Drosophila melanogaster: one gene and its partner. The protein of the gene in region 1 interacts with the protein of each later gene in a pairwise test. Each region holds a gene or a part of one and is shown in the gene's direction. Other genes may lie near its edges.

Evidence for each region.
Region 2: the proteins of CG3610 (region 1) and mbo interact in a two-hybrid assay, tested with the Drosophila melanogaster proteins (one large-scale study listed by BioGRID).

Annotation. Positions count from the first base shown.
Region 1 is NT_033777.3:14,842,415-14,848,028, forward strand, and holds CG3610 (uncharacterized protein), read left to right. Parts: upstream 1-2,628; 5' UTR 2,629-2,792; coding exon 2,793-4,259; 3' UTR 4,260-4,323; downstream 4,324-5,614.
Region 2 is NT_033777.3:12,674,822-12,681,331, reverse strand, and holds mbo (members only), read left to right. Parts: upstream 1-2,279; 5' UTR 2,280-2,330; coding exon 2,331-4,439; 3' UTR 4,440-4,845; downstream 4,846-6,510. Other genes in the region: Cyp313a4 (cytochrome P450 313a4), read left to right, coding at 27-180, 246-443, 497-682, 842-914, 958-1,084, 1,144-1,729, 1,797-1,957; CG43630 (uncharacterized protein), read left to right, coding at 5,076-5,222; Gnmt (glycine N-methyltransferase), read right to left, coding at 5,327-5,596, 5,889-6,145, 6,206-6,333, 6,469-6,510.

The DNA of each region.
Region 1 (5,614 bases):
ATTCATTGAATAGACGAAACATCTGTGCAAAAAATTTCCATTTCAACTTCCTAATAAGAATTTTCCTGCTTTGTAAGAAGCTCCAAAACATGAAACTATGAGTAGCAAATAAATTCCTGAAAGGCAAATTGATATTTTCATTTTCAATAAAACATAAACGCGACCTCAGGTCGTGCCCCAAGTGAACCGTCTGTTTGTTTGTATGGAAATTATATGAAAATTGCACTTGAAACTTTGTCTTGAGCTGTCTGCCACTTGCAGTTGAAAGTTTTTCCGTATTGCTGCCGTCCTGCATCTTTTTTCCGGAAATTATTGATAGTCCCGTCTAAAGTTACGAAGAAATTTCAATATTAAATGGATTCAAAGTTAAAGTGTATAAATAAAATAAAATCATCTGCACAAATCCAGCAGTCAAGTGCCTTCGAACTAGCCACGGGGGCCAAAGGGTCAAGGGGATAAAGTTTCGTTCATGTGGTTGCCCAGTGGAATACAAGAAACCCTATATGACCACTATATATGCACGGTACATGGCGATTCAAGCACTTTGCCATTGTGTACATTCCTCACTTGTCCGACATTCCAGGTCAACAAATAGCGAAAGGCTTGCCTTCGCTTGAAAAGGGTTCCCTAAATCAGTAGATATCAAAGGATGTTACAGGTGAAATAATATCTCGACACTACTTCTAACCTAACGTAGGTAGTATGTAGCTTGATTTAAAATCTAAATAAAACCCTACCCTCTCCTTTTTTTTAAGCATTTACATTCGAGACACATAAATGTTAAATACCAATGAAAAGCCCCGCGAAAAGTTCGTTGAACCAGACATGGCAAGTTTCTCTCCGAAGATGGTTTGATTAATTGACGATGACCTGGCTAAAGACTTAATGCCGAACTTCCGTGCGAGTGGCAGATATACTTATTATATCAATTAAGGTAAGCAACAATGCTTTCTATTGTCCCCCCCAGTCCAGCGATTCTGCTGTCTCATAGGGTCGGACCGCCACTTTCCATCATCCATCCAACTTAATGTGCAATAATGAGTGTCATGTAATGCCAGACGCGTTCGATTCGAATTGCCAACCAACCAACAAACAAACAAAACTGAACTCAACTCAAACAGCAGCTGCATTGGCGGCTAAAGGAAAATAAAAGAGAAAAACCCAATGCAGCATTAGCAACGACAACAAATTAACATTTTTCAAAACTTTAAAGCCCCGACATGCGTTGACACTTTCGGGGAAAATTGCGTACAATTTCAAATGCAGGCACAAAACTTTACGCGTAATTACGACACTGGGGAAAACAGGAGGAAAATATAAATGGCAATAAGGGGGGGGGGGGGGGCACAAAAAAAAAACAAATAAATAAAACAAACCGCTGGCAAATCGCGTTCGCTGCGCCGTTGACAGTTGTAAAATGGAAAGGTTATCCGGACCCTGGTCGGCAAAAACCATGGACAGCCAACAAATGCGTCGAGGAAAGTGCCTTCGGAAGCTGCAGCTGCTACTGGAGCTACTCATGTCCCATTCCCCATGCCCCCCCGCCACGAACTCAATCCCCTCCTGCCACAGAGACTCCGCCAATGAGCTTCTGTCGTGGACAGTGACTGATGGTCTGGGAGAGCTCCGCTCTTTTCTGCCTCCAATGATTACGATGATGATGAAGACGGCGATGACAGGGCAGCATTTAACCAGCGCTCAGCAGTTAGATAACTATATATAAATTATGGAAGCCAGACGATAAAAATCCTCGACAGATCGCTCTAGAACGTCTACCATAGTTTATAATTCTAAATATACGTATGTTGAAAATGTTTGATTGCAATTGTGAACAAATTATAATTGGTTTTATCTTATTTTCCAATATACTCAGTATTCTGTAAATAATTGACTTTTATTTAAATACCTTTTTAGCTCAATAGCTGTTTTAAATTCAGGAGAAATATTATTTCTATTGAGTGCAATGCATTCGAGCTCAGAAACTCAATCGTTTAGCTCGGTTGTGATTTTCCATACAAATTCGTATGCAAATTCAAAGGTATATATAGCCAATAGTCGGGGCAACAACGCGCTCGCAAGGGAAGCACTTGAGCCTTACTTTGATGCACATATCCCCATTAAGTTGGCCCCCGTCGAGCTTGTGGCTCCCAATGCGGCCATGCAGTAGGTGAGAGAGAGAGAGAGATCTCTTGGCCTCTTGGCCCAGAACCCACTCAAATATGCTAATCCACTGGAAGTCCACACAGACCTCCACAGACAGCCCACAGTAGAGTGCATGTTTCTGAGCTTCAGGAAAAGTAGTTGCATAAAGCTACAATGCCTTTCCAGAATCTCACAGAGGAAGTAATTTGAAATTACGGAAGGACAGGCTTTCAATTACGGTAAGCTAACTTACCGATATAAAGGGAACATTCTGTAATCGTGGGCAATTGACAGATTCTGTCAATGACAGAAAATCAAGAAAAGTGGCTTTATATTCGCAGCTTAAAAATATTAGCCAGCTCTTATCTGTTTCACTTAATTCTTCATAACATACTTGTAATTTGAATTAACCTGAATATTATTTTCTAAACTTATTTATCCAGCTGAAAACTGTCGTTTTTTAATATCTGAAAATTTTCTAGCAGTCTTCAGTTAGTCAGTAGATTTCGTTAGGTTACTAGCACAAAAAAAAAACATTTTGAGTGAACTAATACCACTCAAAACGCCTTGACATATCACATATTTCATTCCCAGTTAAATTTTCCTAAGTAATTTCTTTAAAAGGAAGTGGTTTGTTTTCTTGAACCACGATGGAAAATCTCCAACCGGAGTCGGATCGCGTTGGCCATATTGTCTGGGATGAACCGGGAGCCTCGATTTTTGCCACCGCCTCCCAGGAGCCCGTACCGAATCTTCTGACCGAGTTCAAACCAATGCCGAAGGGCGAGGACGACTGTGTTTCTGATAAGGATGTGTGCCGCATTCTTACACAGTCGTCTGTCGCGGAGAGCTCATTGTTCCGAATGGTCAAACACCAGGTGGACGAAGTGGCCGCCATGCTCAACAGTCACCTGCATCCGCGCCAACGGAAGGAGCAAACCGATGTGGATGTCACCCTCGGTGTAGCAAGGGAACTGGCTCGCCAGCAGGTGGAGGCCAGTAGATGCCTTCAACTTCATCGCAATGTGGAAAATTTGAGGGATCTCGAGATGGAAGTGGCCCGTGCCCACACAGCGTTGGCTGTCAAGAACAAGATCACCAACAATATCAAACAAACGGTGGAAGATAAGCAGCGGGAGCGGGCCGAAGCTTTGGCGGAACAGCGAGCCGTGGAAAAGGAGCTGAAGGAGGAGAAGCAAAGAAGGGCTCAGAAGGCAGCCGTGTTTCGTAGAGATCTAATGGCCCAGATTACCGAGGGGCGTACCAAGCGGATACAAGATCATCGAATAGCTGTGGCCGAGGGTCGTCAAGAGCTAAAGGAATGCAAGGAGATAGTGGAGCAGGGAATCCTAAAGGATGCAGTTACAAAGGCGCAGCAGCGCAAGGTGCTCCTCGAATCCCTAGACCAATCGGCAGCCATGTTGAAGCAAACCCGCGAGGCCTACGCTCTGGCCCAAAAGAATAAGCCCGAGAGAGGACTCCTTGATGCCCTGGGACCCGTTACGGCGGCCTATGTGTCAAAGGCACGGAAACGACGCCTTGATGAGATCGAGGCCAGGGACATTAATGCCGCTCGGCTGGGCTTCCAGCTCAGCCAGATCAAGCACGATCTGGAGTCCCGAGATCAAGTCATCACCAGTCTGCTAATCCGCGAGCACAAGGCCAAGGAGAACGCGAAGGCCTTGGAACAGGCTAGAACCAAAATGGCCAAGAAGCAGGAGATTCGCGAACAGCTCCTCAGCCAGCGGGAAGAGCAGAAGTTCTTCCGAGATAAGGGTGTGCAGGATGCCCTGGTCATGCCCAAGGATCCCATGTGCTTCGGCGAACGACAGTATCGAATGCAAGTGGCCCAGCGGGAGAACACCCGGCGCTTGGATGTCCAATGCTACCAGGACATGGCCCACATGGTCGTGGAGGCCAAGAATAACAGGAAAGCCGCTGCCCAGGAGGTGGTTGACATTGTACAGGAGGTCTACAACCAACAGAATCGCCAGGATGAGCTTGTGGCTATTGAGCGGATGAAGCTGCTCTCCAAGCAGCCACCTGAAGTTCTTTCAGCGCTCAAGAAATCCATTCTCACCGAAGAGGAGATCAAGTCTTTAAACCTTAAGAAGTAGTTAATGAGTTTTCATTTAATACGCGCTAGATGCCCGTATTAAGGCTTGTAGAAACAAAAAATACAAAAAAGTACTTTTTGTTTTTTTCTTCGGGTTATTATTAAACCTACGCCCCCCTGGATGTTGGCTATTATTTATCAAGTATACTACCTCATGTGAAGCAGCCCACTGGCACAGGATGTGCTTAATTTTCCATTTTGCTGCTCTGCACTTTTAAATAGACTTTGCTGGCGCTGCCGGGATGGCAAATGAAATTCACTTTCTTATCCATTCTTTGGCCAAGCTTTTGCAGCAGGTCAGGTTTCCAGGTTTCGTACTCGAGCAACCGGTTTACCGACATTGCAGCTGGAAATTTGTTTACAATAATACGGTTCGAACGCACGCAGATGGGAGCGTAAGTGCACTTTGAAACCGGGCTTACATACATTTCCTTTACTTTCCATTTCTGGACTCATTAGCCGGCTGCCGGAGGAGACAGGTTTATATTTCATAACTGGCTGGCGAAGAAGGCTCAAGAATGTTGGCAAAGTCAGTTTTTTGGCAACCATTTTGGAGCACTCTCTTGACGACCTGCGGAAACTTTCCCTGGCAATAACTTTGGCTCCAAGTTTCAGCTTCAATGTGCAGAAAAAAAGATATATTTATGCTTTCAGTACACTGTAAACTATCGAAAGAAACTCTTTTTGGGTGCTGCGAGCTCAACTAGTTCTATAAACTGTAGTCATACTATTAAAATGAAACATGCTAGTTGTACTAACCAGGAAATTAGGGAAATTCTTGTTAGATCAATGCTTGGTTTCTTTCAGTGCAGACTTATAGAAGCGACCAGCACAATCACAACCCAGTTTCTGTTTCAACTTAAGTCTGCTGAATGGTGTGAGGTTGTTTTGTCTTTTCGACTCTGGTCTGGTCATAGAGGAGCAGCTTGGTTGGCAAACTTTTTATGCCGAAACTTTTTTTTTGGGCCAGATCTTCAAGTTGGCCAAAAAGATGTGAAGTTGTGTGCACAGGCGTGTCTGCAGCTCTTCCACCTGGAAGAGCGTTACTGGCTCTAATAGGAGTTGAGTCGTCGTGTGGCTGCAAATGTGTTTGCATTGCTATGAAATTGGAAACGAGATCTGCAAAAGTTGAGTAATTGAGCTGATTCTGCTTCGTTGGTCACTCGAATCGAAGAACCTTTCCTCCAACGTATTCATGCCACAACAATCATCTGGGGGCCCCATTTTCAAGCCAACCCAGAAAGGGGGAACATTGAGAGAAAATGGGTTGGTAAATAAAGCCTAGGCCAATAAACATTTTATACATTAAATTAAATTATTAATTTTAAGCTACACCTCATCATTCTGGGTTATCCT
Region 2 (6,510 bases), 2.2 Mb from region 1:
TAGCGGACATTGGCAAAGGATTAAGCATGCTGACCTGGACGCTGTGGTGTGGACTGCTGTTCCTGCTCTGGATCTACTTTCTGTGGAGCAGGCGCAGATTTTATCTGCTAACGCTAAAGATACCGGGACCACTTGGATATCCCATTTTGGGCATGGCTCACTGGCTGATGCGCAGGGAAGGTGCTTTGGATGTTGTGATGTTTGTTGTGTTGGTCGGGAGTAATAATCTGAGTGTCCGTGCGCAGATATCCTCAACGCATTCGGCTGCTTTCTCGACAAGCACGGTCCGACAATTTTCTCCTGGCTGGGGCCCATTCCCTTTATGATTGTGAGTGATCCCCAAGTGGTGCAGGATATCTTCACATCTCCCCACTGCGTCAACAAGGGCATTATTTACAAGGCAGTGGACGATGGCGCCGGAGTTGGATTATTCAGCCTGAAGGGTGTGTGTCTATGGAATCGAGTGTGGGAGTTACTTAAGTGTGGATTTGTGTAGATCCCCGCTGGAGCATCCATCGGAAGCTGCTGAATCCCGCCTTCGGCCACAAGGTGCTACTCAGCTTCCTGCCCATTTTCAACCGGGAGACGGCCCTTCTGCTCGATCAACTCGAACCACTGCAGGATGACGGCGAGAAGGATCTCATTCCACTGCTGCAGAGCTTCACCCTGGGAATTGCCACCCGTGAGTAAAGAAGAATGTGTTGTTTGTTTAAAAAAAGACTCATAAATTATGGCTATCACGTTTGTTGTTTGCATACAAAGTGGTCGAAAGCCAGAATGCATAATTCAGTTAGAAGAGTCGATCTGATATTAAATATATGATATACTTATATGAAAGCAGAAACCACCATGGGCAGCGATGTAAAGGATGAAGAGAGCTTCAGGAGCAATTCCTTGCTGGGGCGATACCAATGGTGAGTTTTGACTTGGAATCGGAATGCATCTATCCATTAATAGCATCCTGGAAACCATGACAGATATGTGCTTCTCTCCGTGGCTCAATAGCCGATTTTGCCGGCAGCTGGCTGGAAAGGAATCGCACTACTACCAGGCCAAAACTGAGATTCGTCAGTTTATTCGGAAGGTGAGCACCTCCAACTACTCCCTCCGCTTATTCACTTACGAATCTCTTAACCCCTTTAGATAATTGAGAGAAAGTTGGCCGAGGACGAAATGGGAGCACTACCTTCCATCCAGTCCAATGATAAAAACCTATTTCTAAATCTGGTCACGGATTTGATGAGACGAGGAGTGTTTACCCTGAAGAATGTTGAGGATGAGTCGAATATCATCGTTTTTGGAGCTTTTGAGACCACGGCTAATGCAGTGTACTACACCCTGATGTTGCTGGCGATGTTTCCGGAATACCAGGAGAGGGCCTTTGAGGAAATAAAGACGATATTCCCAAACACAGGAGACTTTGATGTATCCTACGCGGACACCCAGCAGATGGTGTACCTTGACCTGATCCTCAACGAATCCATGAGAGTAATACCCCCTGTTCCTGTCGTATCCCGACAAACGTCTCAGGATCTGAAGCTGTCCAATGGTATAGTGGTTCCCAAAGGGGTCCAGATCGCCATCGACATTTATCACATGCACAGAAGCAAAAAGATCTGGGGTCCGGATGCGGAGACCTTCAACCCAGATCATTTCCTCCCCCACAACATCCAGGACAAGCATCCGTACGCCTATATACCTTTTACCAAGGGCATTCGAAATTGCATAGGTAACAGAGTGATCGCTAATTTATGACCATTGTTTTAGCTATATTCTTATTATTTCCTTCTGTTTAGGTTGGAGATATGCCTTAATATCGGCGAAAGTTACATTAGCCAAGTTATTGCGGAATTATAGGTTTAAAACGAGTTTTCCCTTCGAAAATCTATACTTTGTTGAAGATATTACGATGAAGTTGAAATCTGTGCCACTGTTGGAGCTCCAAAAGAGAACTTAAATGTTTATAGCACTTAGTGATTTTAAATAGATTATTAAAAGTTGTTGAATTAATGGGTTCTGTGAATTATACCAATATTAAAAAATAATAACATCTACCTTTTATAATCTTTTATTAACTATTAATCAATTATTCCATTTTTTAAATTTATAGCATGATTTATGCTAACGTCTTTCGTTGAAAAGTTTAAGCAGCAATAATTATTAGTACATTTTCCGAAAATGTTGGTGTTAGCGTTTTTTTAACAAATTTCTTGTTTCATGAATTCGAATTAAAAAAATACTAAAAAAAAATACTTTGCGGATTTCCGAAGACTACTATCACACTAGCATTGACTTACAAGCCGGGCAACGAATTGAAGCATAAACAAACGATGTCGCTCACCGATGTCTTGGAATTGAACAAAACGGAGTTGTTCGCGAAGATTCGCAATGGGTTGCCCGTGGTGCAAAGGACTCAGAACCTGCTGGACTGCAAGGACGATCTGCTCTTTGCCTGGCACGCGAAGGACAGCTGTCTGTTGGTTCGCAACTGGCGCTCATCGCTGGCGGCAAAGGTGAATATCCAGTTCCAGACACTGATTCCATCGAGCTTGGTGAGCCTGGAGGTGGACCGCGTGCTGGCCTCCAACGAGGGCTCCCTCGTGGCACTAAGTGGACCGCGCGGCGTTGTCATAATGGAGCTGCCCCGCCGCTGGGGCCCCGATGGATACTACAAGGATGGCAAGCCAGTGATCACCTGCCGCACGTTCGGCCTGGACACTCAGCTTTTCCTAAAAAACCCGCACTTGGAAGTGCGCCAGGTCCGCTGGCATCCGCACTCCGTGTCAGACTCCACGCTGCTCGTGCTGCTCAACAACAACACGATTCGAGTGTACAATCACTCCAAGTTGCGCCACGTGTGGCAGGTGGGTCCCCCGGTGCTTCGAAGTGGGGCCAATAACTCGCTATGCGACTTTGGCGAGCTAGCCGTTGACTTTGACATCGCTCCTGCTGCAAAACCACGTGTCACTGAACCAGAAACAGCCGGCAATAACGAAACCACTTTGGATAAGAGCAACAAAACCCTTGTGGCGGCCAAATCGCTGCCGAAACAGGAGAGGATAGAGTGGCCCATGGTTGTGCTCCGCGAGAATGGAAACATCTACATTTTGATGACCGGCGTGGATTCGGAGAATACGCGCCTGCAGGGCCCCGTTACCATAACGCCACAGGCACATGACAATTATGGACTGGAGTCCTGTGCCCTAATGATTATCCCATCACTTCCGCCGACCATTGTTATAGCTGAATCCAATGGAAAGCTTCACCATGCTCTGCTTATGGAGGCGGAGGCCACTGAGCATTCTTTCAATGAGGTTGACGACTCTGTGTTGATTGAACCCGCCGAATACGTTGTACATGTACTAGAAACTGTCGAACTTGAGCTGGGAATATCTGCACCCGCAACTGGAAAAGAAGGAGGCAACTGTCCCATATACTTAAAGCGGGATTTGATCAATGAGCTTCGCTACTTTGCCTACCACAACGCAGGACTTCATGCCGTTACGGTCAGCTTTATCGCAGAGCTGCAACGTTACTTGGAAAGCGAGTCCGATGAAGATCGTCTAGAGCTGGCGGTCTCTGCAAGTGCAGAGTACATTCTGTGCACAAAATTCGATTCCAGTGAGACGGTGAACGCAGTCTTTGGACTTGCCCTATTACAAATTCCTGCCGGTATAGTTCTACTGCTGGGCAGCGGTCAGGTGATTAGCCTTAAGCTGGTAATTGATGCCCAGCTGTTGGTTACACCTAATGAGAATAAGCCAGTTGACTCGGAAGTGTCTCAGCAGGAAAGTGGGCCACCGTTTGTCGATACGATTAAATCGCTTTTGCAACGTAGTGTTAACCAGCCCATCTTGGCGGATAAACTTTCCTCGCCATCCGCCCAGGAGAGCTTCGAACTGCTTAACCAGGCAATCGAGGTGCTTCGTGAGCAGTACCTTAAACGACATGACCTTGTGCGCGCCGCATTTACACGCCACATCAACCAGATCCAGCTGAAGAAGGAACAACAGCTGCAGGAGATCCAAGACCTGGAGCAGGAACGCGAACTGATCAGCGAGCGGGCCCACAAGCTTGCCGAGCGCTTCGAGGAGATTAGCTACAACCAGGAGCTGCTCGTCCGCAAGTGCAACGCTCTGATGCAGAGGGCCAATGCCTCACTACCCAATAGTGTGATTGCGGAACGGGAGTTTTCGCAGGAGGTGATTCGACTTAATAAGGTCACCCAGAGCCTGGCCGCTGGACTGGAGACTGCTAAGAAGACGTTTAACAAGCAGCGCTACCACATTGCCCAGAGTCAAGAGGACCTCAAGAAGAACGCGTACGAGCTGCCGGAGAAACAGCACCGCACTATCACCGAGATACTTACCCAGCTAACCGGGGAGATCGATCGCCAGATCACCGACGTCAAGCGCATTAATAAAATCGTTGGCATCTAAATTCGGATTGGGAAGCACGCTCTTAAGATTTCACCACGTTTTCGTGATAGTAAAGCCGTTGCGTAGAACTAAAACGTATTTTTAATAAACATGTCAATTAAGTCCTATTTTCGTTAGCTGGCTTCTGTTTTTTGTATTCGATGACACTTTAATGAGCATACGTCAGCGTTTTCTGCTAGACGATCCTTCATGAAGACACAAAAACATTTGATACCCATGGGTATTGTGCTACAAAGTCTACTACAGTAAAATCTATTCTTGACGTACTGTCCCATTTTCCGGATTATAGTTCAAAAAGTAAAATAATAGTAATAAAATAATAATAAGAATAAAATAATGAATAATAATAGTAGACTTCATACATCATAATTCGGAAATACAAAGTATTGTAGTACTGCTGTAACATAGTTTTCCAACTTTCAGCTCCACTGTTATTAGAATACCACAAATTTTTCTAGTATTTGGTTTTTAAAGTATCGCATTTCGATCGTTACTCATTTTCTCTGCAAAGCAGAACCCATTGAAAACGTAATGGAAAAGCATTTGCAAGGCTAATGACACTCGCCCCAAGAATTGAGGGTTTCGATAGCTATTGCGTTTTAGTGACAGTCTAAAGCGAAGTTCGGCGGACGAGAGATGACGTTGATACTACTGGCTGCCCTGTCGAACATCTACACCGGGATGTTCAACTACGTGAAGGCCAAATTCCCGTTCGTGATCGAGGCCGCCATGGTGACCCTGTGCTTTGGCTCCATCGTGGGTCGATTCTGCATAATGGTTTAGAAGAAAACTGAGGAGACTCGAGACTGTGCGAATCGAAGGAACTTTATGTATATTTATATGGATGTGTCTTGTGGCCTTATGTGAATACAACTAAAAACTTAAATCTAAACCTGTGGCTTTTCGATCAGGTGAATGTAGAAGGCGGGGTTCTTCACCTGGCTCATCTCCTTGAAGTCACCATACAACTGGTGCTTGGCTTTGGCGGAGAAGATCTCGGCTAGAATCTCCTGGAATCGTTTCAGCCCGTGGGGATAGTAGGACAGACGGAACTCACTGGTCAACTTGTTGCCAGCGATCAGGTAGTCCATCGACACCAGGGCGGGCTTACCGCAGTAGAAGAGCACGGATGTCTTGATGTCCGCCGTGTGACTCGTCTGCAATTAGAAGCAAGTCATCATTGGATTATTGGATTAATTGAATCGAAAGATGTGTAACTGATAAGGCGATTGATGATTATGATGTGTTATGTGGGGTTCACAAACAAGATCATCCGTTCTTATCACCGCGATGATGCGACAATATTAAGCTATTTTCACAGATAGTTTTTAATTGAGGAGATGATTCGCTAGAATTTGTACAACTCACTATAGGAGGTATGAACTACACGCTAATTGGATTAGATTCTACAGATCGGCATTAGATTTTAAATGGGAAATTGGTACTTACATTATAGTAGATGCTCTTGGCAGGCGTAGCTCCCGTTTCCAGGATATTGTCGTAGTTGCGATGATCGATAAGCAGGACGCCTCCAGGCTTGAGGCACTTTTCGAAGTTGCCAATAGCCTGCTTGTGCTCCCGCTGATCCCCGAACCCGTCCATCAAGTGGGCAAAGGAGTTGCCCAAGCAAATGACGGCATCGAAACCATCCTGAATGTGCTCCTGAATGTCGTCGTACAGTGTCAACCAGTTGGCTTCCTCAATGACTGTAGGATAACAATAGATATAGATACAGGGCTAAGCTTATTGATCATTGCCCAACTTACCCCACTTATCGAAGGCAGCTTCATTTCGCCGGGCCCAGCGCTCCTTGAGGGCGTACTTCAACATCTTATCAGAGGCATCTACGGACACAACTTCGAAGCCCTCCTCCACAAGCATCAGGGAGTCCACACTGAAAGAAAAGTGTTGAAGATTAGAGCACAATAGAGCATAATTAAATTAGGGATTCTTAAAGGATTCATTAACTAGATGTATTGATTCTATACCATAGTTCAGATGAAAATGCGAGGATGATTTCCCATCTTACCCCGTTCCACAGGCCACGTCTAGGACACGCTTGCATCCCTTA